2 linked regions of the Drosophila melanogaster genome follow. The protein of the gene in region 1 interacts with the protein of each later gene in a pairwise test. Each region holds a gene or a part of one and is shown in the gene's direction. Other genes may lie near its edges.

Region 1 (18,504 bases):
TGAGCTTTGCAAATGTGTTATATATGTAGAGCAGCCTTATTTGAATATTCCTCTTAATTGGTATTTAAAATCAATTGGTGTTGGAAAAAAATGTGTGCACATGTTTGCTAATAAAGTGTGAAACTATAATATTTTACAATTGTAACAAGTACAAGTTATAAATTGAATTTACAATGCACTTTTTTCAGAAATGTGCCGAGTAATTTACTAACAGATTATCAAATGTGGTAAAATATTTCGTACGTTTATCAGAATTCAGAGTGTTTACTCAACCGTAAATCATAAAATTTAATTGTCTTCATACAAATATCAAATGCAATTCTCTTAGAATCAAATATTATAGGCTGGCACATTAACAACGCAAATTACCAAATTTGTCAGAAATAAATTGAATGTTCATATTAGGTGCAAATATGCATATATGAAATGTTACTATCAGCTTGCCGTTGGCATGCAAATTGGATCAAAATTGAATATTTAATTGCACACCGAATATCAATTGCATTAAAATCACAATTCTATCTGTTTGCACATCCATGCTGTTTTCCTACTATTTTTTTTGGAAAAACTTATAATGGGCTACCAGCGTGTGTTTTCGTATTTGGTAATTCCCGCATCATGGCCAAGATAAAATGGATGGGACCGTGAATCATGCAGTTGCAGCTGCTGCGGCAGATGCGGTGCCAGGTGGTCAGGATGTGCCAAAAATAAAAGTTAAACAAACAACCATGAAAGGACCCGAATGGCGACTGGATGTTGTGCAATTTATGGCTCTCATGATCTCGGCGGTTTTTGGACTTGGGACTCCGGAACCGAGCAAAGGTCAATGCAAACTAACGAAACGCAGCGACGGCCAAGTGCATTATCAACAAAAATTCCATTTATTTCGGTTCGCAAGTGCAGCAGCCACAAATATTCATTTACGAAATGGGATTAAACAAAGCGGCGCACAGATAAGTTTTCACAGCAAGTACTTGTATTTAAGGACTTAATTAAGTAACTGGTGTGTATATACATTTAAACAAAAATAAAAGCTGCAGAATTGGAATTATATGTACAACGAAAATACATGCAAGTTATTTTATAGTTATAGAATTTGGGATTTCTTTAAACATATTTATCAATAGCTTTAAAATAGATTTTAAAATAAAATGTAGTGATTTTTGAACCCGAACCCACCTGACTTATTATTAAGCAAGGCCTCCAATTCGTCGACGTCGTCCGGATAACTGCCATAGTCGTCATCATCAGGCACATTGGCGGCATCACGCTTCCGCGTGCGTTTCTCGGTATGCTCATGCTGTTGCTGCTGCGGTACGCCATCCAGATCCATCGTGCTGGAGATGTTCAGCAGGATCGGAATGGCGGCCGAGTCGGAGGACGTGGCCAGGACAGAGGCGGACACGGAGGCGTGGAGCAGGAGAAGGCAACCGTAGAGGAGCACGGCCTGGCCCAGTTGCATGGCCATCAAGTGGCAGCCGTGTGGATGCAGCTGCTGCTGTTTTTGATGTTGTTGCGCCATCAGCTGCAGTCGCCGCAGTAGACAAGGCAACGTTAACTTCGCCATTTTGTCATTTTCGCACCGCCAGCCGCTTCTCAACACATTCGCAATTGTTTGCGAACTTTCGCCATTTGGCCAAGAAGTTTCCGTTTGCGTCGTTAGCAGTTTCAGTTTATGTTATAGTTTGCAGCTCGAGTTTCGGTTTTTGGTTTGCGTTTCCGCTGCCTCAGTGGTTTATAGCTCGCTTTGGACAAATTGGCCAAACCCCGGTGCACATTACGTATACGTCATGCTGCACATTACGTATACGTCGCCGGCCGCTGTTGTTGCTTTTGGTGCTGGTGGTGATGGTAGTGGTGCTTCTGCTGCTGCTGCTGCTGCTGCTCCTGATGATGATGTTTAGCCTTGTCCCGCCTGCCGTTGTCAAGTGGCCAACTAGCTAGCTGCCTGCCCTGCATGATAATTTTATATAATTTGCCCCCGCTGCCACAAATCGGCTCGAGTGGCGCTTGTTTTTGTTGGTTTTACTTCTACCGTTGCCGTTGCGGTCAGCAGCGTCATCATCTTCGAGTGACCCACTAATGTGTGTTGCATGTGCAGCACCGCTGCACGTCTGCCGCCGCCTTCTAGTCGGGTATTAATTCCATGCAAACTGCAGATTTATGGCACGAACTTTGCGAATCTGGGTTGGTCCTCTTTCGGTCTGCCGCGGCTCGTTATCCCGAGCTGAAATTGCACGGAAAAAGGTCAAACATATAAATTTGTGCTTTCACTAAAATAACCATAAATAATATGAGTAGTGCGTGCCATCACATTAAATAATCACGTAGATTACGCGTTTGAAAACGTTTTCTGAAAGTGAACGCAATTTTAACTGCGTGTAGATAAAGTGGATCTATAAACGTTCGTTTTATATTGTAGACGACAAACAATATATTATTTTATTCCACAACATAAAACGTTATATATCTACTTGATTTATAAAAGTATTTACAGGTAACCACCAGGGGCTAATATTATTATCTAAAATTTCTAAAACAAATTGATAATCAAAAAAACATCTACACAGCTGGCCCAAAGTAAACGAATGTGTGTTTGTTTAATCATATTTACTTTTGATTCATGAAAAACGAGATTCGACTGATATGTTGGTATATAAACCAGAGGATTGAGCTTTCTTCGTTTAGATCACAAAATCTCCCCAAAACGAAAATGAAACTTCTTCTGGTTCTGGCATTGGCAGTCTTCGTAGCCCACGTGGCTGTGGCCCAGACAACTGATTCGTCTGACGATGGAGATTACTCTTACGATTACGCTGATGACAACGATACTGCCGGTAGCTCCGAAGACAACACTGCTGATTCTGGAGACACTAGTGATAGCTCCACTGACGTCGACAGTGGAAACGACTCTGGGGACGTCGATTCCTATGACGACTACGAGGGCTCTAGCGATGTTACGGAAGCACCAACTGCTGCTCCAGTTGTCAAAAAGAACAAAAGAGCTGGTGCCAGGAAAAACAACAGGAACAACAAGAATAAGGCAGCAGCTAAACGTCGCAATGCCGCCGCTGCCAAGAAAAGTAATAACAAGAAGGCGGCTAAGAAGCGAACACCTGTTGCCGCCAAGAAGCGGGCAAATGCTGGACCCAACAAACGTAGGCGCTCTGGATAAATCCAGTTTATTATATTCGTAGCTACAAATTATAAAAATAAAAAATTATACCAAAAAAATTTGTTCCCAAAATTACCAAGATTTTTTTCTATGACGTTTATAAGTTAGGTTTTGAATTAATATATAATAATGATAATGATATTTACCAAGAATGTGGTTGTTGGGTATGGGTGTTTATTATTATGAATTTTGTACAAAACTTGAATATCACAGAAATTTTGAAATATATTTAACTATTTCACCCAATGTTCAAAAGACAAGAAAACATTCTACATAAGTTTTTATCGGCACGTGTTTTTTCCCTCATTTGTAAATAAATATATTTTTGATAAACAAAAACATACACCGCATATACTTGAAAAATTATATAATTTTAAAGACGTTTAATGTCATATCTATTTTTTCTATAAAACTACTAGCAGGTCGCCTAACGCGTAAACCATAGACAAATTGTTCAAAAATCCAGATAAGACATTTGTGACCTTGGCTCTTTTAATATAAAAGAGTTTATATTACTTTTTCGTGCTCTAACACAAAATATAATTTCATAATTTCAACATATAGCAATCGAAAAATGTTAAACAAATACAAGCAGCACACACAGGTGCTCTAAGCCACCGAAAATTAAGACGATGAATTAAAAAACCAATATTTGCATTCTACAGATGTACATAGAAAAATAATGTAAAAAAGCTTTATATATTTATAAATTTCTTCAGAGGAGAAAAAACTATAAATACCCAGTGTTGAAGACTTTTAAACTCAGACGTTTATACCTAAGGTTACCTATCTGTTCGTTGACTCTATAGATACAAAAAAAAAAAGATGAGGCTGCTGTTGGTTTTAAGCCTGGCCATATTGGTTGCCTTCGTAACGGGTGCTGATGACACTGACGATGACTATTACGATTATTACGACTATGGTGATGACTACTATGACGACTCTGATGTAGAGTCCAGTTCGGAAAGTGGTGTTGGTGCATCCAGTAGCTCAGAAGATGATGCTAGTACCTCCGAGGACAGTTCCTCCGGCGAAGCTTCCGATACAGGTAGTTCTTCAGAAACTTCTGGAGATGGTTCCTCCGCCGAAACGACCTCCAGTTCAACTCCAACCAAGGCAGAAAAAGCCAAGAAAACTGCTGCACGCAGAGCTAGACGGCGCAGGCGCACCACCACCGCTGCTCCCAAACGCAAAGTAGCGGCAGCCGCGTCTGCCAAGAAGCAAACACCTGTTGCCCAAAAGAAGAAGACACCTGTGGCAGCCAAGAAGAAGGCGAATACTGCCGCCAACAAACGCAAACGCACAGGCTAAGCAGTTCGAAAAAAGGATAAATTCCCCATAGTCACTGAAAGTTTTTACATCAAACTTTTAAGAGGACCAAGAGACATCTTGTAGAATCTACATTAGTCTGGGAATATTTCATATGTTGTTTTCTGTACAAAAAATCCATATAAAAATACAAAGATAAGGAGACGTTTTGTAATTTACCAAAAATATACATTATTAATCCAAAATATACAACAATTTTGTATTTGAGGGCTTAAATGATCTTTCTTCGGAGAGAAACTAATCATTACAAATCGTTTCTGAATACTTAAAATCGAAAGCCAACTAAAAATCAAGTATTCCTTAAAAGGAAAAAAATTTTTTGAACGAAACATTCATTTAATAAACTGTTGTGGTTTATATACAAGTCTCTGCAGCCAGATTAGTATAAATCGTTCTAGTGGCGTAGTATTACCAAAGTCAGCTGCATTTTGCTGCATATTTTTAGGCGCCCACATTTACATTTACCAGCGCTTTGGCGCATTGTGTTTCTATTTAGACGTAAGCCAATAGCATCTATAAATAGTAATTATGCCCTCATACAAGTAGACATAAATGCACAGGGACACTTAATTACTGATGCGCACAGGCGACAATTGTTTAATGGCGAAAGGATAACGAAAAGGGAGGAGCCTGAGTAGCGCCATCGGCCACCACAATGGGACCATTGTTTTCGATTTCAATGCCGACATTCTGGCAGTGGCACTGCCAACAGAAATCCCGTGTATCCAGTGCACTGCGGCCCAGATGAAAGCCACTCCGCATCCAAGTGTTTGTGTTTGCCCGAGAGAGATCCAATCTTCCAGTGTGCTGGTGGCGGCAAAGCACACATCCATAGACACAACCACACTCACACACCGATGTTTCCTCTTGTGGCACCCGCTGGGCCGCTTAGTGAGCCAAGTGTGGCAACAATCTGAATCATCGTTTTAGTTTCCACCCTACATCCCCACCACCAGATCACCAGGGTATGAACCGATTTGTGAATTCGCCGGGAATCTTAGGTTGGGATGACCAGTCAATAACAATATCAAGCAGGAAATGGTTGCAAATTATCGAAAATTCTATGTATCTACTAGATTTGGTGTTATCTACGCAAATGTCTAAAAGTTGCATTAAATTGTGGATAACTTTGATTTGATTTATACATTCTTATATATAATTTTATTTTGTTAAAATCCTTTTTTTATTATAATAATAAAACAGCTTTGATCCTGAATGTTATAAGTATCCTATTTCAGGATCCGCCAAACTAGCTAAGCTTTTACAGGGTATTACACCACACTAACACCATTGGCAATTGTAGGCGATGGGCTGACGTGGAATCAGAGGGGAGGTGGGAGCGGAGGATAAGGCTGCTGTAATATCTGTGGCTGATGCCTTAAGAGGAAAATGCGATAATGTGCGCTAAACAATGAACAATGCAGAAATGGCATAAAAATAGCCAGAAGTGGGATATGAAGTGGGACACAGCGGCGGGAATTATAATGGAATATGTGTTTGCCTCCGAGGATGATAACGGCCAGGATGATGGCGGTCGGTGGTGTTGCTTTGGTTAGCACTCACAATGATGTGATGATGATGGCAAGTGCCCGATATATGCAGATTGTAGGTGTGGCTGCTGACGTTGATGGGCACCTTTGAGGAACAGATCGTCACATTTTAGATACTGCTTTTGACATTTACATGTTTTGCAATGCAAATCAGATGGGGCACAGACTGGGGCTAAATGAATTGGAAATTTAAAAATGACGACCATTTATTTACATAGGTCTCGCAAACAATCTTTTCAATTATGAGACAATCTTGTCCATGTTTGTGAAATATGGATAAATATTTAGAGCATTTCCTTCACATACATATTTTTATCGTTCTTTACTAGCTAAATAGTTCTATACTAACCAATCTATACATGAGTGTAGTTATATCTCTTCTAAGTTGATATCTTTTGCAATATTTAGCACATAAATCAAACTTTTGAAAATTTTTCACATTGCTCACTTTTTGATAAAAATCTTAAACGCCCAACAAAGACATAAACTTCCTCCTTGTGGATGTATAATTTGAAAAACAATTTGCATTTTCTCGAGGGCAATTTATTTTCCATTCCTTCGGTGCGGCAAAAAGTGGCTGAGGGCAGGGAAACTAAAAGTTTGCTCACTCCAAAGAAATTTTCTCTAACAAGGCATTTAGTTGGCAAACAAAAATACGTGCATATTTCTAACCCGACGGTGGGCAGAATGTTTATGTAATTACCGACACGTTTATAAGCGATGGCGTTTTTGTCAGCAGCACAAGGGGCGGCATAGGGGCAAAGGACTCGTAGAAAGTGAGCGAGTAACTAGCAAAGAGCAGAGCAATTTATTTAAGTGCGAGATATTTTTATGTCTCGGCAAACCATTAAAATGTGCATAATGCAATCCCTTCCAGCACTTTGCATATAAATTTCAACCGGCTGGGGCAAGTAGCGCCATAGCGGAAATGCAAGTCCAATAACAAGGGCAGTCGAGAACGAAAGGGATTGGCATGGGCTTAGTGGCCATTGCATACACTGTTAAAAAGGGTGTTGCGAATACAAATTTCATTTCATTCAGAATCAAAAATGTTCGCTACGTTTTCGGTGTGAATCTAGTTAGATTATTGATTTCGTAATGTGTATTTAAGGATCACATTTATTTATTTTAATTGACCTTATTATTCTGTATTTCAAAATAATATTTTCATATTTAATAATACAAATTAATAAGAGAACATAAAATCAAAATTTTATATGTACATACATTTTTATATTCGCATTCCTTTTTGAATTTGTAACCCTTTTTCACTCCATGTAGACCAAAATAGCTTATTTTTTGAGAGCCCACACTTGCAATGCCAATGTGAATGAACGCACATCCTGCTGCTCCTGTGTGTGAGTGTGTGTGTGTGTACTAGGATATACCTCAGAACCTCTCCGAAGGGAGAGGGGCACCGTTACAGTAACGGTAACGGAAGCAACGAACGCAAACATCATCCTGCATTCTGCATCGCCGAAGCTTGCTTGGCCCGCTCTCTGCCTCTCTTCCTCTCTGAGAGGAGCAAGTCGGAGAGAGCGGAAGAGCGGTGCGCCTGCCCCTAGAGAGTACCGTTGTTTCTAGCGGTACATAGGGCTTTACGGAAACTGCACTCGTGTGCGTGTGTGTATGGGGGTCCTACTTTTAGGCACTGATAAAGGCAAATTTACATACGCCGAAATGCCCCACCGCCCCCAGACTCCCGCCCACTTGGTTTCGGCCACGGCTTTTGGCTTCTTATGTGTCGCCGATGCCGATGCCGTTTAAAATGTAGGTTACACACAGCGAAAGAGGACCCGCAGACGCACACAAATCACATTCACACAAAAACATTCGCACACATTCAGAGCGAGAGAGAGAGAGAGCAGCACACAAATGCACGTGTATACGTATATGCAATATATTTTAGAACTTTCCGTTTTTCCCTTCGGAACGTGTCCTGCTCTAAGGTAATAAAAGTTTTATAATTTTTTGGTTACACACACACACGCGCGCGCGCCTATGAGTGTTTGTGTGTGTGTGTTTGGCTTTTGTCTTTCACTGGGGGCCCAAGTCAGCTGGGCCTTACAGATTTTGATTCCCACAAATTCAAAGTTACGGACTCCGTGACCCGTAAAAGTATGCTACCAAAACGAACTATTCGCCAGTTTTGCGAGAGATTAAAACGTGAGAAAATTAAAAAATGTTTTTTGGCAAACTTTTGAAAAGGGCTCATAAATAAGAAAGTTTTGCCTTTCAGTTTGGTTCCAGGAATTTAGGTAAATGTTATTTAAAAATTAAATTTACTAGTCTTTTTTTAAATGGATACGACGTTACTATTTACATATTTCTCTTTTAGGGAGAAATAAATGATTCTCTAGTTTCGCACATAGGATTTTGATTATCTACACTAAATGGTTAACTATTTCTTGTTAAAAATTGAGAGAAAACGAAGTCAAAAGTATTTTTATATTGAATCACATTCATTCCACTAAAAGGCCAAAACAAATATGCTTCATATTACAAACAATCCTTTTACAAAGAAGCTCTTATTCCTTGCTCAAAATGCAATTTTCGTTCCACGTCAATATCCAATTACACCTTAAGAGGCATTCAAGGTCTTCTAGCATCCTGCTGCTTGTGCTTTTCCACGAACATAATTTATATTGTTTTTGTTGACTTTTTGATGACCGACTGTGTGAGCTGGTGAGCGGCGGAATAGAGAAAATGTAACAACTGTGACAAGGGCAGGAAATGCTCCTCTATGCCCATAATACTATACAGATTTGAACCAAAAACACATACATATAAACGCCAACAGCTATGTACATACATATGTATTGTATTGTAGTACCTATGTATGTGGATGGATCATGTATATGTATGTTCGTCTGGGAGTTCTTGTTTTTGTGTGGGGATTCAAAAGGCCTGCCAAAACAGCCAATCAGGAACCAATCAGCGATAAATCAAAGTTTGATTTCATTTTCAGCAACGTTGCTACCTTTTTCGGACTGCTTTTCCTCCGCCGCCAATTACAGAAACATTTTGTTTTCGCCTATCGCGTTAAAACTTTCACATAATTCGCCTAACTTGGCGTTTAAAACATTTAACTTTGGCCAATTCGGCGCAGGCAAAACTTTTTGCCTCACTGGCACGCACACACAAGCACTTTTCGTTTAATTTTTAATGCACTTTTAATTGCGTTTTCTTGTACGGCGCACTTGTACGGTTTGCAGTTTGCATTAATCCACGTCTTACAACATTACCAGATATCTGTGTGTTGTCTAGTTCTTGCTGGTATAAAAAAACCATGCGATTTGGGAATCGAACTTGTGCGATTGGCGAACTTAACGGTACTGAGCCGAACCCACAGCTGTAACGGTAAAGAACGATGTGTGGGCGAGGACGACAACGACGACGATGCTGCTCCTTCGGTGGTAGCTTGACATCTGCTCGGGGTCCTTTCGGGATCCCGTGCTGTCCGACTATCGGTTCGGTTTGAGAGCGGGCGCAATGCAGCAAAACTTGGAGTAGGTTCAAGTTCCGAAGAGAGGGTGAGACTTTATATCGCTGAGACACAGAGAGAAGGGAAGAGAGAGCCGAGAGAGAGTCGTTGTGATGAGACAGATGAGTGACTATCTATACCTCCTGACTGTCAGCTGTTTAACGAATTTAAAAATAGAATTTTTCCAATCCCGATTTTGATCCCTAGACACGGTTTTATTTTTTTCTGACAAATTTTTCTATTTTAATCTTGAATATTAGATCATTCGCGGTTTTTTCGATTATTTTTTATTGAAAGCTTAGCCAGAAAGAAGTGCATCCAATATTTTAAATTAAAAAAAAAAACATTTAATCTCAGCACTTTGGTCACACTAGATGTATAAAATATCTGTATAATCATGTGCACCCTGTGCACGCAATAAAAATTGTAATTGCTATCGATATTTAAAATAATATTGCAAAATCAAACTAAACCTCTTAAGTTACAAAATCGAAGCACATGATATTTTATTAAAATAAAGAAGCAATTCTTCAGTAAGTGAACAGAAAAGATATTTCTTCTAATAAAGAAATTCTTAAATAAAAGAAAATGTTAACGGATTACATAGAATTGCGAATAATTTGTAGAATAAAATACTACCATGACAAAAAGCAAAGAACTTTGATAAGCTCTTATTACAAACTAGAAAGCTCTTCAACCGATTAATACCGATGTTTTTCACGGCGGCGTTATCTCCTCACCCATAGAAAGTTGTTGTTAAAGCAATCGGACTATTGAGCCGGCAGAACAGTTTAATTCTTCGAAAAGATAGGTAGTATACTAGAGTCGGGATCAATTAATATTCCAGACAATTCTCTGGTGAATTCTCAAGAATGCAAGTGTTTTTAGCTTTAGCCCTGCTCGCAGGCTTGGCTTTCTCAGGTGAGTTATAGACGTTAGAATGCTAAAGTGTTTAGCCAAACAAAGAGTAATTGTTTCTGCGTTTGTGTGCGCTTTAAACTAATGCACACATGCATATATTAAAACAATCGAGGTCATCGTTTTAGGATTGAAACTTTAGCTTATCATCATTTTTTTTGCCATGAAGTATATTTAAAAAGTAAAAAGAACATGTTTTTATTAAACTTTTAAATTAGATCAAATAAACGTAAAAGGGCATGTACTGCTATTTTGACCGCAGCTGTATATATACGAAGTATATAAGCAATGGCGTGAGCTTAAACCTCGATGGCTGCCCTTTACCGTTTCTTATTGTCAAGTTCCCGCTCATTTCTCATCTGAATCTCTCCACACTTTCGCCAACGACAATAGCTAATGCCACGAATCCGCCGAAATGGGATCCAAACTACATAGTCAAAGGAACCCTGTACATTCCGTACGCCGAGATTGCGGAACCCTTCTACGCCTGGTATGACAAGAATACGAGGCGATCCCGCATCGATTACTACGGCGGAATGGTGAAGACATACCAACTGGCTGGCGAGGGTCAGTACGGAACCCTGCTGAAGCTGGCACCGATTACCACCAAGACGGAGAACAACAAGCTAACCTGTCTGCAGGTGAATGGCACCGCCGACCAGGCTGTCGATATTCAGAGCATCCTGCCCGATGCGAAACCTTTCAGCCTGGTGGGCACCGAATCCTTTTTGGGCTACACGTGCGACAAGTTCCGCCTGGAGTCGACAATTGGCCAAAAGAAGAACATCTATACGCTGTGGGTGCGGTACAAGAAGTCGCCGCATTATCCCTCCAGCCGAATGCCCATTCCCGTGCGCTACGAGATGAGGGGCTATAACACCCTGCTGGGATCGCACTACGATCATTACTACTTGGACTATGACAGCTACGAGCACGATGATATTCCCAACGAGGTGTTCGAGATCGATGACAGCCTGCAGTGCGTCGGATTCCCCGGACCCGGCACCGGTCACTATGCCACCTTCAATCCCATGCAGGAGTTTATATCCGGAACCGATGAGCATGTGGACAAGGCCTTCCACCATTTCAAGCGCAAGCACGGAGTTGCTTATCACAGCGACACGGAACACGAGCATCGCAAGAACATCTTCCGTCAGAACCTGCGCTACATCCACTCAAAGAACAGGGCCAAACTCACCTACACGCTGGCCGTTAATCACTTGGCCGACAAGACCGAAGAGGAGTTGAAGGCACGACGAGGATACAAATCATCGGGCATTTACAACACCGGCAAACCGTTCCCCTATGATGTGCCCAAGTACAAGGACGAGATTCCCGACCAGTACGACTGGCGGCTATACGGCGCTGTCACTCCGGTGAAAGGTGGGTTCATTCATTCCCTAAGTACTTACTTAGATGAATTTGATAATATTGAATTGCTTAAAACGTAAACTACCCTTAGATCAATCTGTGTGCGGATCGTGCTGGTCATTTGGCACCATTGGTCACCTGGAGGGCGCCTTCTTCCTGAAGAATGGCGGCAATCTGGTCCGGCTTTCCCAGCAGGCGTTGATTGACTGCTCGTGGGCCTATGGCAACAATGGCTGCGATGGTGGCGAGGATTTCCGCGTGTACCAGTGGATGCTGCAGTCCGGCGGAGTGCCCACGGAGGAGGAGTACGGTCCCTATCTGGGCCAGGATGGCTACTGTCACGTCAACAACGTGACGCTGGTGGCACCTATTAAGGGATTCGTCAATGTGACCTCCAACGATCCAAATGCCTTCAAGCTGGCTCTGCTCAAGCACGGTCCTCTGTCGGTGGCCATTGATGCTTCTCCCAAGACATTTAGCTTCTACTCGCACGGAGTTTACTATGAGCCAACGTGCAAGAACGATGTAGATGGACTGGATCATGCTGTCTTGGCCGTGGGCTATGGCTCGATCAATGGAGAGGACTACTGGCTGGTGAAGAACTCGTGGTCCACCTACTGGGGCAACGATGGCTACATCCTGATGTCGGCCAAGAAGAACAATTGCGGTGTTATGACCATGCCCACTTATGTGGAGATGTAGATTGTCCCGCTCCCGCCTACATATTTCTTATTTTGTGTACTCTTTTTATTTTTACGCCCACAGGGCGCTAAATATGCAATACATTTCATAAACTCTTTTGTAATCCAAGTCTTTTGAATCTTATCACTGCTCCGCTTGGCTGGAAATGGAGCTAAGTTTAGCTTGGGTCATTATCTCCGCAGTCCATGGTGTTTCTTAAGTTAATTCCATGCCGATAAGCCGATAAGCCTAGAAGACAATGACCAGTTACCAGTTGAACTTTGCGCAAGTTGCAACAGTTTTATGCGAATCGGGGTCTTTGCCATTTGTAGTGGAAATCATTTCTACAGTAAAAACTCGCTACATTTTTAAAAATTTTAATCATTTAATTTCATCAATATTAAATTAAACATATAATTAGTTTTAAGAATCTTTACTTTGAATAATGATTCTAAAAATAAGTATACCTTCTTATTTAAAAAACTTGCAAGCAAAGCATTGAATTTTTACATTAAACCCGTTTTACAGTTTTTCAATTAAAATAAATTAAAAATATAACATGAAGAATACTTTCAACTGATTCTACAATTTTCACTGCTACTACATTTCATTTTAGATTAATTGTTCATTTTAAATAATATATTTATAAGTTAATTTGATATAACAACAAATAAGTCTAAATTTAAATACATATTTATTGGCATAGATGTTGCATCCCTGGAATTGCGCCAATTGGTATTTTTCTGTTTTGGCTTGATGGTCATCCGATACAGTTTAGTTATTCTTTTTGAATTGTATTTGCTTGGAATCGAAGGAAGCAACGAAGCCATGGATGAATTGGTGAAGATGTGCCGGGTGTGTATGGACGAGCCGAAGGACCTGCTAGACATCTACGACAACAAGAGCTTGGGGGACAGACTGAGCGACGATCTACAGCGAACCAAGGAACCGGAGCCCACGCCGGCTGATTTGCTGAATATCTGCAGCGCATATCCAGTGGATACCGGGGACGGCTTTCCGCTGAAAATTTGCGAACCGTGCCTTATTAAATTGCGTGAGGCCTTGAGATTCAGGAGACGCTACACAAGGACCATGGAATACGTGGCGCGCGTGAAGAGGGAGCAAAGCGACAAGGAGACATGCGATCTCCTGGAGGCCGAGGATTGGGATTTTACGGATCGCATCAAGAGCGAGGAGGAGGAGGAGGAGGACGATGGGGACCGGAACGATAAGCAGCCGAAGAAGGAGACTCGCAACGAGGTGGATAAGAGGCGGCCCTTCAAATGCACCGACTGCCAAAAAAGTTTCACCGGCAAGGCCCAGTTGACCATGCACAGGCGCACCCACACCAAAGGATCCACAAGGACCAGACGAAAAGCTCTTAAATAGTCCTTGGCAACGCTTGGCAAAATGTAGCCAACTAAAATAGTAATTAATCATCTTGTATCATCGTTTTAAAAATAAGTTCGATATATTTTTAAAGTAGAAACAAGTTAGCGACTAATAATGAAAGTACATATGGAGTGTAGTTTTAAAAACAATTTCATGTTCTCATATTGACAATAAGATAATAAAGAAATGATAATCGGATCGATTCACAACAGTTTTTAAGCAGCTTTCTCACTTTGGTTGCGATTACTAGCTTTGTCGATTTCAAACAAGAAATTATTATATGGACATTCAATATATGAAAATACCTTTAACAAATCTTAACTATTTAAACTTATTTCTTTTTGTTTCTTGGCTGCTCGTCCGTCGCTTCCCTCGCGTGTGTGCTGACATGTGTTTTTGTAGGCCGTTTAGTTGCTTGAAGCTTTGCTGACATTTGGAACATTTGAACGGCTGTTCGCCAGTATGAGTCCGGGTGTGGACTTGCAGTTGCCCAACTTGCCGGAAGCGCTTGGGGCAGTTCGGACAACCGAAGGGACGCTCGCCGGTGTGACAACGTGTGTGGCTCTGCAGGTTGCCCTTCTGGGCAAAGGATCGCGGACATAGGGAGCACTTGTAGGGTCGCTCGCCAGTATGTATGCGCATGTGAATCTCTAGGTTTTGTTTTTGGGTGAACGACTGTGTGCAGAGCTTGCACCGATATGGTCCGGGAACCCTTTTCGGTTTGCCCCGTTTTGAGGCGTTCCAGATTTTATCATCATCTTCGTGTTCAAGCTCACTATCCGGGCTCCATGAGTCATTGTCCGAGTAGGATCTCGCCCTCCTCTTGGACTTATTGTGTGGCGTCTTTGCTGGAGAATAACTTTGCGCGAGCTTATGCTCATTGTTGTCTGGAAGAGGAGAAGATATTGGCTTCGGCTCTGGAGGCATGTACTTAACCTGCACAAGCTCAACTAAAAGAGGTTCGGATGTCTCCGGCGTTTTACCAGCTTCCATTACCGAGACCGGCATCTGTGGTTCTATGTTATCCCCTATATTCAGGCAATACTCTATATCGTCCAGCTCCTTCATCATCAGACGCAGCTGTTCAAAGTACTGATGGCTCTTTCGGCATTGCCGTCTTAGCCGATAGGCATTTCTTACGGCCTCCGCACACTCCACGCAGATGAACTGCGGCATTCCGTCCTCCTTATGCACGCTGCATCCGCTGCATTCCCTCAGCATTGTGGCCAAGACCGGCTCCTGCTCCTGGACCCGATTGGAGGAGGCATATGGCTCTGTATATATATCCAACAGGCAGTCGGATTCGTCCCTGCAAACGCGGCACATTTGCGAAATGTCCATCGTGGCCGAGCTCCAGAGTTTCGTAGGCAGGATCAAAAATATACAATATCAACAAAATGCAACTATTAAAATACCAATCACTGGAATATACCAACAAAAAAATACCGAATAATCAGCTGTGCTTCGCATCTTATTAATTTATCAGCTTTGATTTATGATTTAAAGTTGTTTTTTTAAGTTAAAAATGGGTTTTTCGTATTTTTTAAATATTTTATTTTAATCTGGCTCTTAGAGCATCAGAATATTCCCCACTTATCGATATACCTTAAAGCTGTACAATGGGCGCGAAGCTTAAAATGTAACGCTGTTTTGAATATGAGTAATTTTTTGAATTTGTATGAAATCACGGAAAAACATAGTTTGACAATAATTGAATTGAACTTAAGAACTTGCTTGTACAAATAAATAACAAAATATGTAGTCTACAAGCGTAAATTGATTTGCTTCGCAAACTTTACAAAATTAGATGCATACCTATTTTATAGATTATATTCAAAAACTAAACAAAAACATTCAACATTAAAATCTAGGAATGCAAATTCGTCCCAAACTCTACTTGGTATTGTACATGGATGCAATTGCAGGATCTTCGGTTTCGTAAATGATAAGCACATCCCTGAATTTATCAAGCAATTGCAGCAGTTGCGAACGTCGCAGGTTCTCGAAGTACATGATCTCCTCCAGATGATGCTCGCTCTTAAAGTAACCCATCTGATACAGCTTCACAAGCAGAGATAGATCATCCACGTTGGCAGAGGCGGGAATTCGACGGATGGCGGCTCGATCCGCATCGCTGAAAACCTGTAGCAGCTCCTTCAGCTTCTGCTCATCCTCCATGGAATCGAGGCTGTCGCAATTGTCCGTGCTCATCGAGGCGGTGATGCTGAAATTGGACTTGTGGCTGGATGATGGCTGCACGGCGATGTTGTCCGAGGCCAGTGATGAATGGTCCTCGGACGCCTCACGACGATGTCCGCCCACCAATACCGCTGGCACTGGCAACGGATGACTGGACATGCTAAGCATGGAGCCATGCAACTCGTCCGCATCTGGTTCTTGGTCTCCTTCTTCATCGCTAATGGCATCCCTTAGATGGTTGCTGCAGGAGGCCGAATCTCCGAATTCATCCTCGCTGGGCATAAACTGAACGTACGTGTGCAACTGCATGAGCAAATGGTGCTGCAGCATCCAAATCACCATTTGTGCGAGGATACCCTGTCGCGCTGGCTGCTGCAGTGGCGTGGTTAAGTGTCCAATTGAAGTGGGCAATGAAAAATCGGAGATCACCTCGAACAGCGACATACCGGCAAAACGGGCCGAGAACTTCTCCACCAGGTGGGACTTGGTGTGCAATGGTGCATCCGGCGCGATCACATAGACATTTGTCTCGCAGAGTGGATAAATAATAGTTGCCTTAGCCCAGTAGACCAAATGCGAGACGAGCTTATAAACATGCTCGATACTCAAGTCTGCATTGGAGGACATGCTCTGCAGACTGATCAGTGGGTCGTAGACGTCGACTAGCTGCCATAGCATGCGTGCCCCAGTCGGTGGAACGCAGTCCAACAATTCGGCAAAGTCGACCAGCAGCAACATGCCATGATAGGGCTTCAGTGCACGAAGGCACCGATCTATGGTCTCTGGATCCACCATGCTGCCCTTCTTATGGAGCTGGTGTGCCTTAGCGGGCAGACAGAAGCACAACGTTAGGTTGTGATTCAGCGAGGTACTCAGCAGTCCAGTGGTGCATAGATCATGGAAGATGGAGCGCAAGGCCTGTGCCAAGCTGCAGCGCTCTGCAATCAGCTCCAGTGTGCGTTCCAGCGGCTGTTGCTGCTGCTCGTCGTGTGTGCGAGCCATTTGAGCCGTCTGCTCGGTGAGATAGCCACTGCGCTGCTCCTCGAACTTCAGCGCCAGTCCAAGGCGCTTGCTCAGTTCGTGGTAGCACTTAACAATCGAGTAGCTGGCCTGTGCATGCAGCGCAAAAACAATGTTGATGAGCATCTGTTGCTTGGCCATTGGACCACTTCTCTGCTCCTTTTGCGGTATCAGAGTGGGATGACTGACAAAGCGTACGTCGTTCAGTTTGAGTTCAAACTTTTGGTTGCATAGCTGTGGTTTAACAGCAAACAGAGCGGACAGGACCTCATCTGCGAATCCCTGCAGTTGTCCTTGGCTCTTGGCAGCACCCAAGTGGGTGGGTGTCTGCAGCAGATCGTCCGTATTGGCCACGGCATAGGGATTGCGCTTTCTGTGATTGAATAAATCGGTATAGTCAAGCTGAGTGCCCTTTGAATTAATAGGTAGTACCTGGACTTCCGCTGCTCGTCGTTGGCCACCTCCGTTTGGCCGAGAGTCTGGTACGGATACCTGTACAGTAACCGATCCCCCTTGCTATCGAAGTAAACCAGGATTACGGCCAGGGGATTCACATTAGTTTCCATGGCACACAGACACTTCCCCTTTTATGTAAATTAAAATATGAACATTTGCATTATCAACTGGGGTCAGGGTCAACAAATAGTTGGCTATGTTTTCAAAAATACTTTATAAATCGTAGTTTGCTACAGAAACTACCTCAACAACTCTTTATTTATTTATTAGTACCTCAATTTGACTTCATTGAGAAATGGAAGCAAAGTAAATAAATGTAAAATATAAAATATATTTACAGCAGTGTGGCTCTCTTTTAGTTTGCATAAAATACCAAAAACTTATTTAAAATAGTAGTCATGTCAGTTTTCATTTTGCAGGCGAAACAATAATATAAATGCAACGCAATGGAATTTTTTTAAATCGTTTAAATTTACCATAGATACCTTAGATAATATATTCAAAAACTAAAAAATACTAAACGAAAAACGGTCTTACTATATAAATAAATATATATCGGCAAGGCTAATAGTATAGGATCCCTGGTCGAGCGATAACGATCTATCGCTCCGCTGTAGTGTGACCGTCTTCGGTTGGTCAGTCTCTAATTTTTTAGAAGCGGAAAGTTGTGAGCAAAACGTGTGGAAATTGTGCTCGAAACGTCAACAAAAAATTTGTGAAAATAACTGGGAGCGTAGTATGCGAACGCGGCAATCGCAGAACTATGAAATTCCCCTGTGAAACATGTTAGTTTGGCTGTAAAAGCACTTTTAAAAATGACGATTTCTTATTAGCGTGTTGGAAAAGAGGAAAACACACACATTGTGAGAGGCAAAATACGTGCGGATCGTAGGTGGGAGCGAGACGACGCTAAACGTGTACTAGCCGCG
Region 2 (15,547 bases), on another chromosome or scaffold:
TGCCTTCATCGCGAACTCGGCAGTAGAACTGGTGGCTTTCCTCACAAGTTTGCCTTATCCCATACGCGCTCTTTACGTCCTCATAGCACTGTGGGCATATCATTTCCGAAAACAAATCGCCACGTTTGACCTCGAATCCGGTGCACTGCGCGATCATCTCGGCAATGGAAACTCTGGTTCTTCGTCTGGCGTCAAATATGTTAACGAGTTTACCAGAAATATCCATACAAACTCGGCATATTTCCGCCATTATCCCTGTAATAAACAATACTTATTAGGCTGAACTTTATGAAGGACTATATTACTTACCTGATGTATATACTAAATAGCTTATAGCTGGAAAAGCAATCTTTTATAATTTAGGAATCCGTTTCATACATCCCAATTAATTGAAAATTAATGCGATTGCCTTGATGAACAATTCAAAATAATAATAAGCTAAACTTCACATTGTGCACAGTACACTGGGCACCCTATTCTCTGGGCCATATGCTAAATCGATTTATTATCGATGTTCGAAATTCAAATTATTTATCAAAATGATGATTTTTGAAACTAAGGTGTGTTTACCATATTTAACAGCTGAGATAAACGCAAACTTGCAAGGGTCGCCCTGTGGTGGTCAGCCCAAGTTTTGATGGGAAAATTCTTATCGGATATCGATATCCTTTACCTGTTGAAGAATATAAAATTGAAATAAATTTCTTTGGAAAAACAAACATTTATCTTCGTATAGTTTTTTCACATTTTCGCCTAGCTAGTGGTGAATAATTTTGGACAGAAGGAGCACTGGACTTTTTCCGTGGAAATCATAGAAAAATTAAATTAAAAAGGCACAAAAAGGAAATGAATCTCCTCGCCGAACTTCTTTGCCAGTATAAAAATAAATTCACATATGAAAAATCGGGTTCCTGGGTGCCACTGAATATGTTTATCCATCGATTCCGGGCTCAGATTACCACCATTGACCTGAAATTAAATAAGCATTACTTACTCCAAATAAAATATAAACAAACAAGTGCGTACCTTTTTTGTTTACAATTTTAACAGCTGATGAGTGAAGTGCTGTTAACCTTTCATAGTTATCGATAATCTGTTATTATTATCGGAATATTGCTCACTTGCTAAGGATTCCATGAAATTTAAACAAATGGACTTTGTGACGACAACTGGGGAGGGAAGTTTTCTGCGAAACAAGATTCGTGCATATGCCAAGGATCACCGTGTTGAGTGCCGCATAAAGGCGAAAGACTCATTGCGCATTGGACTTGGACAGGTTAAGCAGGAAGTGGCGGCTCTTGAGATGGGCACCAAGGACGTCATTGGAATGGCCAGCAGGATCAAGCGTCGCAAGCACGCCACCTCCGAGGATCTGTGCCGCTTGTCGCTGGGGTTCCTCCAGAGCAATGACAACATCAATGCATTCGCAGCTATTCCTGGCGCCATTCAGGTTCTGGTTAAGGAGCTAACTGGTAACCAACTGCACCCTCATTAGCTTTAGTTTTATATAAAAAGGTTGACTTGACTTTCAGGACCTCACATTCAACGACAGACAGATGCCGTGGAGTGCTTGTGTAATCTTTCCTTGGGCGAGGCCCATGTCTCCGAAAAGATTGTCACTTTGGCGGGCAGCTACATGGTCACCTACCTTGATGGCAAGGCCGAACGCCTCAAGCGCAGTTGCCTGTGGACACTGGCCAACGTTCTGGGCACATGCGACAAGGCCGGCAGCGTATTGCTGCAAATGCAAATAGTACCCAAGCTGTGGAGGCTCTACATCGAGCCCAATGGCTGCCAAGAAGATGCGGCCATCTGCCTCTCCCTGGTGGCCACCCGCTGCCCGCAGCATGTGAGTGACGAGGATCGAAGGTACATTGGCCAGAATCTGCCTGAGAAGCTCCACGGCCAGCCTGCCAGCGAGTACTTCATGTACATAGTGCACCAACTGGAAATAGTGACACAGGAGCACAAGTTAGATGCTCAACAGGCCGAATGCCTGGTGCGTTTCTTTGAAGCCACCTTAGCATCGCCAGCCGACCGGCTGTGCCTAATCTACGCCGTGCGTGTAATGACCAATCTGGTAGCCCTAGGTGACACAAGTCTAATATTCGCACTGGCAGACCCGCAGAATCTTGTGCAAACCCTAAACCAGCTCTTCGCTCTGCGAGATCCAGATCTCAACCTGGACGCGATGCGCTTGCTCAAGAACTGTCTGCACTTGAAGGTAGCAGATTCCAACCTGGTACTGAATAGCTTGCAAATATACGCATAGGCTTATGGTTAAGAATAAGTCTTGCAAATCTCTTTATTGGTCTTAGAGTACATATAAATATAAAGCCACGGACTTTTGAGTACTCGAGAATGTATTGTAAATGAACATGGATTGCCGCTAAGCAAAACTAAATCACTAATGGAAACAGAATAAAATAAATAAATAATAAATAAATACAATACGACAAAAACACAGATGCAAAGTGGTCAACATGATTACTAGTTTGATTGAGCCACCGGCATGAAAAACAGGACTTTGTAAAACCTAAATATCATCCTCGAAGAGGGCGATTATTTGACGCCTTTTGGCTTCGTCGTCGGCGTTCAGTTCATTGCCCCTGTGGGCATTGTGGTTGTGCACCTCCAGTTCGGAGACTGAGTCAAATTCTAAATTGCACTGCCCGCAGCGGGCTGAGAAAACGGGCGCTGGACCCTGCGAAACTGTGCCAGGAGAGACAGCGGCCCGTTGCAGCTTCTCGAGGAACGTGGCTCTCTCCCTGTGCTTGTCCAGCCCGATTCCCAGCGCCGCCTTTCCGCGAATGGGAATGGGTTTTTTCACCGTCGGCGTGCCCTGGGAATGGCAACTTTCAGAGCGCTCAATGGCGTACAGCACGTTGTTCTCCTCCGTGATCGGAGTCGTCGTTCCGCTGGCACAGTCGAATAGAGATGGTTCCTGCACCGGCCGGGGATCGGGTATATCTATGGGAATTGGCGGCTCAGCTATCTTCTCACCGTTGGACACCTTCACCTGATTGAGCTTCTCGGCCAGAAGCGAGTCTATGGAATGTTCCTGCAGCCAGGCGCAAGTTTTGTGCAGAGCGAATATCATGCGGCGGATGAACTCGTGCGGCGAGACCATTTTCTGTCGCCTAATCTCGAGCAACTTGGTCACCTCGGTAACAAACGTGACGAACTGGTATTCGACGCAGTTGTCCAGATGCGACTGATGCGAGTCCTCGAACATGAAGCGTTTGGAGCATGCCGGACACTTGCGCTCCTTCCACATGGGCTCCGGTATGTTCACTTTGATGTCGCGCAGCTGCAGCTGATCCTGCTCCATGGGATCGTCCTCCTCGAAGTTGGTCTCGGTGTAGTTATAGCAGTTCTTGTGCTTGCGCAGCAGGGCCGCCTCCTCGTTGTCGTCGCTGGAACTGGCCACCGCATAGTCGTCATCTTCGTCGTCATTTTGGCCACTGCTCGATGGCAGTTCGCCATCCCGCGGTTGCCTGGGCATGCTGTTGTGAGGCTGCTGCTTGTTGAACAGCACGTTTAAGTACTGGATCTTCTGCTCAGCATTGCCGTCTAGCTGGGTAGTCGTCTGATTGAGCAGTCGCTTGTGTACCTTGTCCTTGGATGACTCCAGTTTGTTGGCGCTGTTGTTTAGCAGAAGATTATGCACTGGCCTCTGCTCCACATAATTCAGATCCTCCGCCGTGAAGAGGGCGCTCTCCTTGTCCATCTTGTTCGCATCCGAAACGTTGACCCTCTTCTGCTGGTAGAGCTCCGCCAGCTTGAGACTCAGCGCGTTCTTGATGCACTGTTCCCGGAATGTGACGGCATGCTTGAGATAGGAGATGCACGGCGCACATATGTTGCGTGGCAGTCCGTCGTCCGTGGAGTTCTGCGGTCGGTCGAAAGAGGAGGCACTCATATAAACATTTATCTGGCTACTTTAGAATGGAGTCACTTACTTTCAGGCCCGTCGTCTCCTCCAGCAGAACGTTTATGGGCTTTTGCCAGTTGAGAAACTCGTTTGTGGAGCCGTGCAAATACGTGGGAATCTTGGCGAATATCTCGTAGTCTGCGGGGCTGCTGCAGATGCGGCAGATATTGCCCCACGACGTCATACTTATGGCAAACCTTAAACTTAATGCTTATGCCGGAAAAAATAAACAATGACAATTTTCAACACTCCGGCGAGTGTTGCCCTACCACTGAAGGTTCAAAACTCAACAGTCCACCCACTTGCGGCAGTGATGTCCAGTTAGCTATAACAGGATTACAGCAAATTTTTTGAATATTAATTATTATTAGCTAAACACGTGACAGATATATTAATGACTAAGACGATAGTTTATTTAAGCATAAATAATACTGTTGAAAATACAAACGTAGATTTATTTGATATATATTTACAAAGCTAGATTTTATTAACACCAATTGGCAACAGTGGCCAACAGTCTGTTAATGCTCTTGATCTAGCTGAACTCGGGGGTCACACTGGTGCCCATCTGGAATTGCATAAACAAACCTCGCTACTGGAATAAAATCACAAATATGTCGTTTAATATCATGCAAAAGCTGACCATGCAGTGCCTGAAGGCAGACCAGCCGCTGATGAGTAAGGACTTCCCACGAACCGGTTGCATATTCTAATCAATTCAATCCCATTTAGCCACCGTGCGCAATGCCAGCAAGAAAACCGGCGGAAGTACGAGGAATAAGAAGGGCCATGCGAGGCCCAAACATCGCGGATGGCGCGTCCAGGATGGGCACCACGTCTCCGAGGGCACAATACTGGCCACCCAGCTCACAACGCGCTTTCATCCGGGCCTGAATGTGAGTAGCGCAGGAAGGAGTTATCCCGGCATATTTTTATACTTTTTCCCATTGAAAGGTGGGCTTTGGCCGCAATGGAACCCTTTTCGCCATGGAGCACGGCAAGGTTTATGTGACCTGCGAGGCCATCGATCCCAACTGGGACCACACCTGGATTCAGCGGAACTACGCCGGTCGCCAGGGCCAGAACATCTACAAGAAGTTCTTCAATGTTGTGCCCGAAAATCAGCATCAGCGATTTCGTCTAGTGGAGGAAATCTAGATTGTTAAATACAAAATTTAAACCAAATGGAAATGTGAATATTTGAATTTTTGGCAATTAACATCGATGTGCTTAACAGCACCTGTTATATTTACATGCCAGCACGACCGTTATACAGCACTGTATTTAGCAATGCTCTGAACCAACTATCGAATACACGCCCCGAATTTGAAAAGAAATCCAGTTAATAGCCAGATATCAATGCAACATTTTCGATTATTAATTTCGCAAAACTTTTTACATTGCGAACTTCAAAAACAAAAACTACACTTCCCCCTTTTTTAGCCAAGCCGAACGCTATTGAACTGTAAAATGAACTTTAATAATAAGCCATAATCATCTATAAGAAATTATAAAATTATGCACATGACGGTATAGGCACTGCCTACAGAATTTCGCTTAAATCAAGTACACGTTTTATCCTATGAATGTAAAAACTTATTTAGTATTGTTGTAGTGAAATTCAATTTAACGCTTATATATGCAGTATTATGTTTAATTATTCATGATTATATATTTTCATAATGCATATAGACTTAAATTTATCTTAAATATAATGGTGTGTACGAGATATTTTTTCAGACTAAAATGGTAGTTAGGGGTATATGTTTTCTGTCCGGATGGTATTTCGTATTTTTTGTTATCGCCGCCGGGCGGTCACACTGCTACAACCGCAGCCAACTTCGCTTCTTTCTTTCCTACAATTTTAAAGATGGTGAGTGGACGTCGGTAAATGTGGTGCACCTAAAATGTGGTTTGTGGGCAGGCGAATGATGTGGAATAGAAATAAGAGCTCACTCAAAGTGCCGCAGCATGCCTGCCCACTGACTGCAATGGCCAAGTGAGCATAGCGACTGGAGCAAGTAAACATAACCTCCAGCACGTGGGTGAAAATGATTGAGGAATGCTCAATGAAAACACGTTTCTTTTCTGCTCTCCCTTACAGTCGAATATCAAGCGGAAGAAGACCAGGAAGCTGCGTGGTCATGTGAGCCACGGTCACGGCCGTATCGGCAAGCACCGCAAGCATCCCGGAGGTCGCGGTAACGCTGGTGGCATGCACCATCACCGCATCAACTTCGACAAATACCATCCTGGTTACTTCGGCAAGGTGGGCATGAGGAACTTCCATCTGCGTCGCCAGCACAAGTTCAGGCCCGAGATCAACCTGGACAAGCTCTGGTCCCTGGTCGGAGCCGAGAAGTTCGCCGAGCTGGAGAAGGAGAAGAGCACCAAGGCTCCCGTCATCGACTTGGTTAAATTCGTAAGTTTCGCCCGAATTCCCCATCCAGCTACGCGAACTCTGCTGCCGCTTTCAACATGAAGATACACCCAAGGCGATGGGCGGACAGAATGCTACCGTACAATTGCTCTCACCGTGTAGAGGACAGCCTTTCAGATCAAAGCCAGCAGTTCTTGAAGAGGATGTGCACCCGTTCTCACCCCGTTGTAACCCATTGTATTGACTCTGGTGTCCTTCTCATGTCTCCACAGGGCTACTACAAGCTGCTGGGCCGTGGTCACCTGCCCGCCCGCCCCGTCATCGTGAAGGCCAAGTACTTCTCTAAGAAGGCTGAGGACAAGATCAAGAAGGCCGGCGGTGTGTGCTTGCTGAGCGCCTAAGTTAAGGTGAGCTTGTGTGTCTAGCTGTCTTACCTATTCGTCGGCGAAGCAATGAAGTGCAGTATCCTAATTGCTATTGTTTCCCTTGCAGATTCCTCCTCTACAGAAGAAAAAAGCAAGTGGACTACATTCGACCATCAAAAATGTATTTGTTTTTTAATAAATTTAAAAGAAAAACAAGTATTTGCTATTCCGACAAAATGTGTTTACTAAAAGGTATTGGGGCTTCATTTTCTGCTCGCTTGGCGCAAGTTGTTTAGAACTTTCTATTTCTATTCCTGCTACAACTTTCCTTTATATTTTTATAAAGAATAATTTCTATATGGTTAGTTTGTTGTGGCAAAGGAAAACTTGTATTTTGAATCAAATAACAAGGGCAAATTTAAATGAGTTTGACAATATTAGAAGTATGCCTATTTTTGTAACTTAAGAGGAACAGTAATAATATAAAGAAAATAAATAGTAATTTAAAGAGTATAACTGCGTCGGTGCGCATTATCAGTTAATCCCTCCATTTTTAGCACTATTCTCGACTAGGCTTTTTGCGCCTTCGCAGCTACGGTCACACAGCGGCGGGCAGAAAGCTCGCGGAAAAATTCGGAAGAGGCGGAAAAGTACGAGACGCCCGATATTGCAAAAAGCGGAAGCAGATTACGTGTAGGTCAAGGCCGTAGGGATGAGGGCAACTTCCATCTTTGACCTTGCTGTTGGTGATGGGGTGCGGCGACCTTGGGTCAAGGACACGACCGAACAAGAGGCACCGAATCCAGGAAACGTAGTCAAAGTGGAGGGCATGCCTGTGTGGGCGGGGGATGTTCCAGTAAAAACAAAGTAACTTGATTATGACCTCTGTGTTGCAGTTAGGAAACGAACTTGTTGACTTTGTAACATTACATAATCGGAAGCCCAGAGTGAGGAGAACTGCTGCGAGATGGCCAACAAAGTGCTGCGAAAGGTGACGCACTGCGTCTTCGACATGGACGGTCTGCTGCTGGGTGAGTGCTGCCGTGCTTGTATCTGCTTTCTGTGTTAACTATTTGCCGAACAGACACCGAACGCCTTTATACTGTGGCCACCGAAATGATCCTCGAGCCCTACGGCAAGACATATCCCTTTGAGATCAAGGAGCAGGTCATGGGCCTGCAGACGGAACCGCTGGCCCGGTTCATGGTCGAGCACTACGAGCTGCCGATGTCGTGGGAGGAGTACGCACGCCAGCAGCGCGCCAACACCGAGATCCTGATGCGGAACGCCCAGTTGATGCCAGGTACTAATCCCAGTTCTCGCTTTGCCGTCACGTTTCAGACACGGAGAGGATATACGAGGAGGTCACCCGGCAAATAGCCGCCTCCTTTGGCCGCCCGTATCCGGAGGAAGTGCGTTTCCGGGTAATGGGCACCACGGACCAGCGCTCGGCAGAGATAGCCATCACCGAGTGCCAGCTGCCCATCACAACCGGAGACTATCTCAAGCGGTACTCGCAAATGTGCCACGAGCGATTCCACAACGTACCCCTGCTGGAAGGTTAGCACCACGACCAGAAAACTAATCGGCATTTCTCCCTATAAATACTTCTGCTTCAATTACTATCCTACTGTGATTAAAGCCGTTTGTTAATCGTGTGCTTCCTTCCCCGTTCAAGGTGCTGAGCGCCTGCTGCGTCACCTGCACGCCAACAAGGTACCCTTTTGCTTGGCCACCAGCTCCGGCGCCGACATGGTCGAGCTGAAGACGGCCCAACATCGGGAGCTGTTCTCCCTGTTTAACCACAAGGTGTGCGGTTCGTCGGACAAGGAGGTGGTCAACGGCAAGCCTGCGCCCGACATTTTCCTAGTGGCCGCCGGCAGATTCGGTGTGCCGCCCAAACCGTCCGACTGCCTGGTGTTCGAGGACTCGCCGAACGGCGTGACGGCTGCCAACAGCGCCGGAATGCAGGTGGTGATGGTGCCGGACCCACGACTGTCCCAGGAAAAGACCTCGCACGCCACACAAGTGCTGGCCTCGTTGGCGGACTTCAAGCCGGAGCAGTTCGGGCTGCCCGCCTTCACGGATTGAACTTAATGGCTGACGTACTTTTTGTAGCTAAAAGATGCTATTGCTGTAATTGGAAATCGATGTACCTACCAAGAAAATGAATTTAAGTGTAAATGTTATCCCATATACACGTATACGTATGTGTGCATAAAGCATCTGGCTTTGCCTTTATTTTGCGCCTAATCTACATAGTTTTCCAGCGTAAGTTCTATTTGCCAACCGCTTCCAGGTTTTTGTGTATGTCAGGAGCAGCGTGGTTGGCCAGGGAGAGGGACACTTCCTTGCCGTTGCCTGCGGACATGGGAATCGATGTGGGGGAAGCTAGCAGCGCACATTATGCTAATCTACTCACCATAGCGGGCGTAGAGGCGGGGCTGGACGCCAGAGCACTCGCGCACGAGGATCGGCAGGTCGGGATTGCTCTTCTTCAGGTTTGGATAGAACCTTTCCACGTATTCCCTGTAAAGGAACGCTGCTTTAGCAAATTATATAATTTAAAAGCGGAAAATGACAATTTCACCTGACTCCCTTGGAAGTGTCTCCTTTGGGATCCAGAATGATTCGCAGCTCCTTCAGTTTTGGAGTAAAACTGGCCAATCGGAACAGAGTAATACCCATTTTGGCACCACTTTTGCGATTTTGAAATGTTCAGGAAGTAAGTCTATTTAAATGTCGGTACTACGCAGGGTTGTCAAACTGTCTTGGATTACATATTGGTATTATTGTTTTTTAAAAACAAATTACTTTTTGGCTCAAACTAAAATAACGTCTAACTCACCAGAGACGCGAACCATTAGTTGCATCGTTTGAATATCCATTCCAAAGACAAGAACCAAGGCAATTGTCTTGGCTGACACCAGGTCAGCATTTGATTGGCCCACATCGATAAATACCGATAAATGCTTGACGGCCAGTCACTCATTTGTTTTGGTAAACATCATTTGTCTCTGGAAAATATTCAATTGAACACGTATTTGAACAATTATGGCGTCCGTGCATTGTCAACTGTGGATGGGAAGCGTAAGTAGCAACGTGCATTACCCCAGACACATGACCCTTTAAGCCCGCATGGCCATTTCAGCTGGAGTCCTACATGACGGAGAACTTCATAATCGCCGCTTTCCGGAAGATGGGCGAAGATCCCACCACGGTGCGCCTGATGCGCAACAAGTACACGGGCGAACCGGCCGGCTACTGCTTCGTCAACTTCATATCCGATGACCATGCGCTGGACGCGATGCACAAGCTAAACGGTAAGCCCATTCCGGGCACCAATCCCATTGTGCGATTCCGTCTTAACTCGGCCAGCAACTCGTACAAGCTGCCCGGGAATGAACGCGAATTTAGCGTCTGGGTGGGCGACCTCAGCTCGGACGTGGACGACTATCAGCTGTACAAGGTGTTCTCCAGCAAGTTCACATCGATCAAAACCGCCAAGGTGATCTTGGACAGCCTGGGGTTTTCCAAGGGTTACGGCTTTGTGCGATTTGGCATCGAGGATGAGCAGAAATCAGCGCTGTACGACATGAACGGGTACATCGGATTGGGTACCAAGCCCATAAAGATTTGCAATGCCGTGCCCAAACCCAAATCCGAGTTGGGTGGTGCTGTGGGCGAAGGCAACACAAACTATGGATATGGAAGCGGTATGACTGCAGCAGGTGGCACCGACTACTCGCAGTACTACGACCCCACCAGCACCTATTGGCAGGGATACCAGGCCTGGCAAGGTTACTACGAGCAGGCCGGTGCTTCGATCACAGATGCGGCTGCATACTACCAGCAGGCCATGTCGCAGTCGCACTCTAATCCGCAGACTCTGGCCCAGCACGCCGAGGCCTGGAGCGCACAACGCAGCGCCCAGTACGAGCAGCAGCAGCAGCAGCAGACCGCTTCCGCCGCCAATGGAGCTGAGGATGAGAACGGACTGGTGGAGCACAAGTTCGTCCTGGATGTGGACAAACTGAACCGAGAGGCCATTGATGCCGACCGCCGTCTGTACGATGCTCTGGAGAGCTCTAAGTGGCTGCCCATTGAGCAGCTGGAAGTCTTTTAGGATACTTATCTACTATATTTATAGCTTACTATAATTACAGCTTAGATATAAGCAAAAAATATAAAAGCCTGACTTGTAGCGTATTATTGTTTTTGAGCCTGCTATAAACTTTTATGCTCCTGAATCTACATTTCTTAACAAAGGATTCAAAATAAAGGATACATTTTTACAAAATATCCCTAATATCCTTACAACAGATGTATTTTATCGATATACAGACGGAATACTATTCTGTCCGTGTCATCGCCATGTCGGCCTATCGACTGTCGATAGTTTCTGCCTTGGCCCGAGACTTTCGGAGATTGTGCAGACAATTGCGGACTAAATAAGCGTTGAATCATGAAGCGAGCGCGGCAGCCGAAGATTACTACGCAGGCCCTGCTCGATTTTGACTTGGGCGAGAGTTCCTCGGATAGCGACTTCCTGCCGGACATCGACAACTGCTCGGACGGATCGAAGGACGAGAGCGATGGCGACGGTAGCAGCAGCGACGCCAGTGGTGGCTCCGATTCTGAATCGGATTCGGATGCGGAGAGCGAGGATTCAACACTGCAGCTCCGGCAGCTGTTGGCGGAAACGGAACCGTCACCACTGGAGAACGGGATCAATGGAGTGGACCACTGCGCAGCTTCCTCCCCGGCAGCACCAGTAGTGCCTCGTGCGCCACTTCAGCTGTCTAGTGCTCCGGCCAAGCGGATGTGCTGCGTCTGCCTGGGCGAACGCAGCGACGACGTCAACGAGATCGTGGAGTGCGACTCCTGCGGCGTATCTGTCCACGAAGGATGCTATGGCGTCAGCGACAACGTGAGCATATCCAGTACCAACTCCACCTGCTCGACGGAACCGTGGTTCTGCGAGGCCTGTCGTGCTGGGGTCTCGGAACCGGACTGCGAGCTGTGTCCCAACAAGGGCGGCATCTACAAGGAGACCGACGTGGGCAAGTGGGTGCACCTCATCTGCGCTCTGTATGTGCCCGGCGTGGCCTTTGGCGAAGTGGAGCAGCTGTCCTCGGTGACGCTTTTCGAGATGCAGTACAGCAAGTGGGGCGCCAAGGTGTGTTCCCTTTGCGAGAACGCTCTATTCGCTCGCACGGGCGTTTGCATTGGTTGTGATGCAGGCATGTGCAAGACTTATTTTCACGTGACCTGCGCCCAGGTGGCCGGCTTTCTTATCGAAGCGCACCACGAGGACGATGCCGCCGATCCGTTCTACGCTCACTGCAAGGTGCACTCGGAGAAGGAGATGATCAAGAAGCGACGGCGCAACTACCACACACTGCGGCTCAATATGATGCAACGGGCGAGGGAAAAAGAGGCGTTAGCTGCCGAACATGAGACACCTGCCCCTCACCCAAATCCAGCCCAAGCACGCATTCAGCGTAAGCTGCTCAAGATCCAACACAAGTATACCAGGCACAAGGAGCTTAAGCCCACGCCGTGGGTGCCAACGCAGAAAATGTCACGCCTGCTCACCACCTCGGCCTCCGCCTGTCGTCGACTGTTGGCCAAGGCGGAGATTATGTCAGTGGATGTGCAGCATCTGGAGCAGCGCGAGGCGCACATTAACGCCTTGACGGACATTCGGAAGAAGTGGCACATTGCGCCGGCATTCAGCGTTGAGTTCACTGCTTACTACATGGACCGTATAGTCCGCATGGATGACTTCCGTCAGCAGCAGCGGGAGCTTATTTCGCACAACGCTATCTTGTCCAAGGATCAAGACGTGCTGAGAGCTCAATACGACACCGCGTTGGAGGAGCGCAAGGCAGTGAAGGCCACTAAGGATTCCCTGCTAACGAGCATTAAGTCTCTGCACACGGCTTTGGGCCAAATTGCACCCAACATGACGCTGCCCAGCGTGGATCTCATTGCGCATCCACTGCCAGAGGCGCCGCCAAAGACCAGTACGCCGACTCCACCCCAGCGTCCCATCTCGGTGCCCACGGCAGCTGCACTGAAAATGGGCGTGGGCTTTCCGTTGGGTCATCTGGGGCCACCGGGCAGTAAAATGGACTCGTCACGCATGCTCAGTACTCATGCCAAACAGGGCAAACACAGCACTTCCTCGGCATCCGTGGAGGCGGCCCCTTCTGTGTCCTGTGGCATCTGCAAGAGGAGCAAGGATCAGCATCTGTTGGTCAAATGTGACACTTGCAATTTGCACTACCACCTGGGCTGTCTGAATCCGCCGCTCACTCGACCCCCAAAGAAATCCAAGCAGTATGGCTGGCAGTGCTCCGAATGCTGCGACAAGTCTGAGGGTTCGGATGCCGTCACGGAGATCTCATCGGGTCCGAGAAAGTCACGCACTCGCTTCAATAAGGATGGCCATCTGGTCTATGTGGATCGATATTCGCTGGACGATATTCCAGTGGCCGCTGTCAATGTACCCAAGGAGTCACACACCAAGCGAGCGCTCAACAAATCCCTGCCAGCTCCTGCTCCGGAATATATAGAAGATCTGACTAAGTCGCCGAAACGGCCTAAACTCCAATCCCCATGTAAAACACCAATTAATGGTGAGTTCGTTGTTGAGAATTCGATTTGGCACAATACCTGTTTAGATTATTATTGCTGATTTGGAGTTTTTGGTTTATTTTTTTTTAAATGCAAATGTGTAAATATGTATGCGTGAATTAACGGAATTTTTCGCTTGATGGTTAGAGAAATTTATGATTTATGAAGAAATTGGTTTTCTGTTTAATCCTGATTATCACTACACTTGTTTTTTTTTTGGCCTGTACAAAGAAAGTCAAAACTATCTCAAACATTGATCTTTGTTTACGTTTATTGAATTATACCCAATTGGTATTTAATACAAGAAATTATTTTTTTGTTAACAAATAATAAAGAAAAAATTTTTTGCGCAAATTCAAGTATGTTTAATAATAAATAATAAAACTAATGTCACGGATCTTCTTCCGCCAGTTCCTGCCGAAAATGTCACTCCCACAACTGATGCTGCTCCTGTTGCCGCTTCGGCGGCTACTCCTGCGGCAGCTCCAACACTGCCCACGCCCAATACTATCGTGATTAACCTATCTGGCTGTGAGGACTCGATTGACGACTCCAGTGGAAAATTATCGCGCAAGGGTAAGCGCAAGGACAAGCACAAAAACAAACACAACCTGTCGTCGGATACAGAGAAATCGATCGGCAAGGAGCATAAACGGAAGCGAAAAAAGCGCGCCCACCTTGACGAGTCTTCCACCCATTTGGATAACGCGGGCAACACCTCGGGCAGCACCATTAAGATTATATTCAAGGCATTGCGTTTACCCGGCGAGGATGCGCCGGAGTCTCAATACTTCTACGTGCCGGCCAATGCGGTGCGCTCCGTGGACGAAGCCTCGCGCCCCACCTCAGTTGAAACAGTCGAGGACAGTGTCCAGGGAGCGGAGCAAGCCTTGGCACCCATCGTGCTGCCGGCAGCGTCACCGCAAAAGGTTCGGGAGCCCAAGGAGACTGCGGCCAGCGCTTCCGTCAACCCCACACCATCACCTAAAAGAAAGGTCAGTCCACGAAAGGCAAGTCCCCGAAAGCCGCGTGTGGGTCGACCACGGGTGTCCAACGCCAAGCCTAATGTGGAAATCAGCTGCTGCGTGTGCAGCCAGACGGGCAAGTCCAACCAGGTGGTGACCTGCGACGAGTGCCACCGGCACTATCACTTCGCCTGCCTCGATCCGCCGCTCAAGAAGTCGCCCAAGATTCGCGGCTACTCCTGGCACTGTGCCGACTGTGATCCCACGGACGAGGATGCACTGCCCAAGAAATAGAAGCAAACATGATTTTTACGTAGATTTTGTACCATTAATATCATTAGGTCCGTGCGATATTTACAAAACTAAAATTGAATACACAAAATAAAATAAGTAAGACACATTCATATTAAAAATAAAATATTGACCAAATTGTAATTTGTCACTCGCTGAATTGTTCGGCTCAGTTATTTAACATATTTATAAATACATTTATTAATAAAAACCATATAAATATTACCGAATTGGATTTCATTAAAGACGGAACCCGAAAAGGACTCATGAGACGTTCAACCGACATGATACGAAAACGGAAATTAATTTAACATTGTTGTTTATTATTTAGCATGACCAGCATTCCATCTCATTTTTGATTCTTAAATACACATATAAAATTATACAATTTTCAAATTATTAACGATCTGACCACGAATGTTGACCATGTTTTGGTGTTTTAGCAAGGAAACTCTGCATTTTTCCATCATATTCCTGAAAACAATCAGAGTTATGGACAAGTACCAAATACCAATTCCAATACAATTGATTTGTATTTTATCGGCATTCCACTGGCATTTCCGTTAAATGTGCTGTTAGGAGCCCAACCACATGTTGTGCTATCGAATGATAATCGATTCACGGCATTCGATATCATATAAACAACGAAATCGATGTACTTTTCGGTATGCCCTACACCGGGCTTAGAAGAGAACATTAATTTAGTACTTAGGTTAATTTATATCTATATATTTGCAACCTATAGTCAGTTTAAAGGAAATATATTCTTTATGTTTTGATTTTTTAGCTCGAACTACAAATGATATATGTTTATGCTTAAATACAATATTGTTGAAAAGATATTATGCTATAAAGTGAAGTCTATAGCCAAGTCGACCAAGCCGCACTATGCTCTAGTCCAGCGGCTGTTGGAAAAACGGCCACGTAAAAACATAATTTTAACAGGCGCAAATACTTGGCGTGTCTAGTC

The links.
Region 2: the proteins of CtsK1 (region 1) and Secp43 interact in a two-hybrid assay, tested with the Drosophila melanogaster proteins (one large-scale study listed by BioGRID).

Annotation. Positions count from the first base shown.
Region 1 is NT_037436.4:13,983,942-14,002,445, forward strand, and holds CtsK1 (cathepsin K1), read left to right. Parts: upstream 1-10,289; 5' UTR 10,290-10,410; coding exon 10,411-10,459; intron 10,460-10,849; coding exon 10,850-11,839; intron 11,840-11,918; coding exon 11,919-12,529; 3' UTR 12,530-12,630; downstream 12,631-18,504. Other genes in the region: CG17364 (uncharacterized protein), read right to left, coding at 1,180-1,567; CG17362 (uncharacterized protein), read left to right, coding at 2,714-3,175; CG9040 (uncharacterized protein), read left to right, coding at 4,001-4,486; CG17361 (uncharacterized protein), read left to right, coding at 13,265-13,897; CG17359 (uncharacterized protein), read right to left, coding at 14,222-15,241; Nprl3 (nitrogen permease regulator-like 3), read right to left, coding at 15,794-17,492, 17,552-17,685.
Region 2 is NT_033779.5:4,448,549-4,464,095, reverse strand, and holds Secp43 (tRNA selenocysteine associated protein), read left to right. Parts: upstream 1-9,642; 5' UTR 9,643-9,733; coding exon 9,734-9,769; intron 9,770-9,830; coding exon 9,831-10,805; 3' UTR 10,806-10,927; downstream 10,928-15,547. Other genes in the region: Paris (parkin interacting substrate), read right to left, coding at 1-250; CG15443 (uncharacterized protein), read left to right, coding at 1,136-1,472, 1,533-2,272; CG15435 (uncharacterized protein), read right to left, coding at 2,537-3,892, 3,963-4,118; mRpL27 (mitochondrial ribosomal protein L27), read left to right, coding at 4,564-4,612, 4,667-4,830, 4,889-5,092; RpL27A (ribosomal protein L27A), read left to right, coding at 5,805-5,807, 6,039-6,356, 6,587-6,715; Gs1l (GS1-like), read left to right, coding at 7,647-7,710, 7,764-7,982, 8,358-8,770; ND-B8 (NADH dehydrogenase (ubiquinone) B8 subunit), read right to left, coding at 8,958-9,040, 9,102-9,208, 9,270-9,367; CG15439 (uncharacterized protein), read left to right, coding at 11,145-13,323, 13,733-14,580.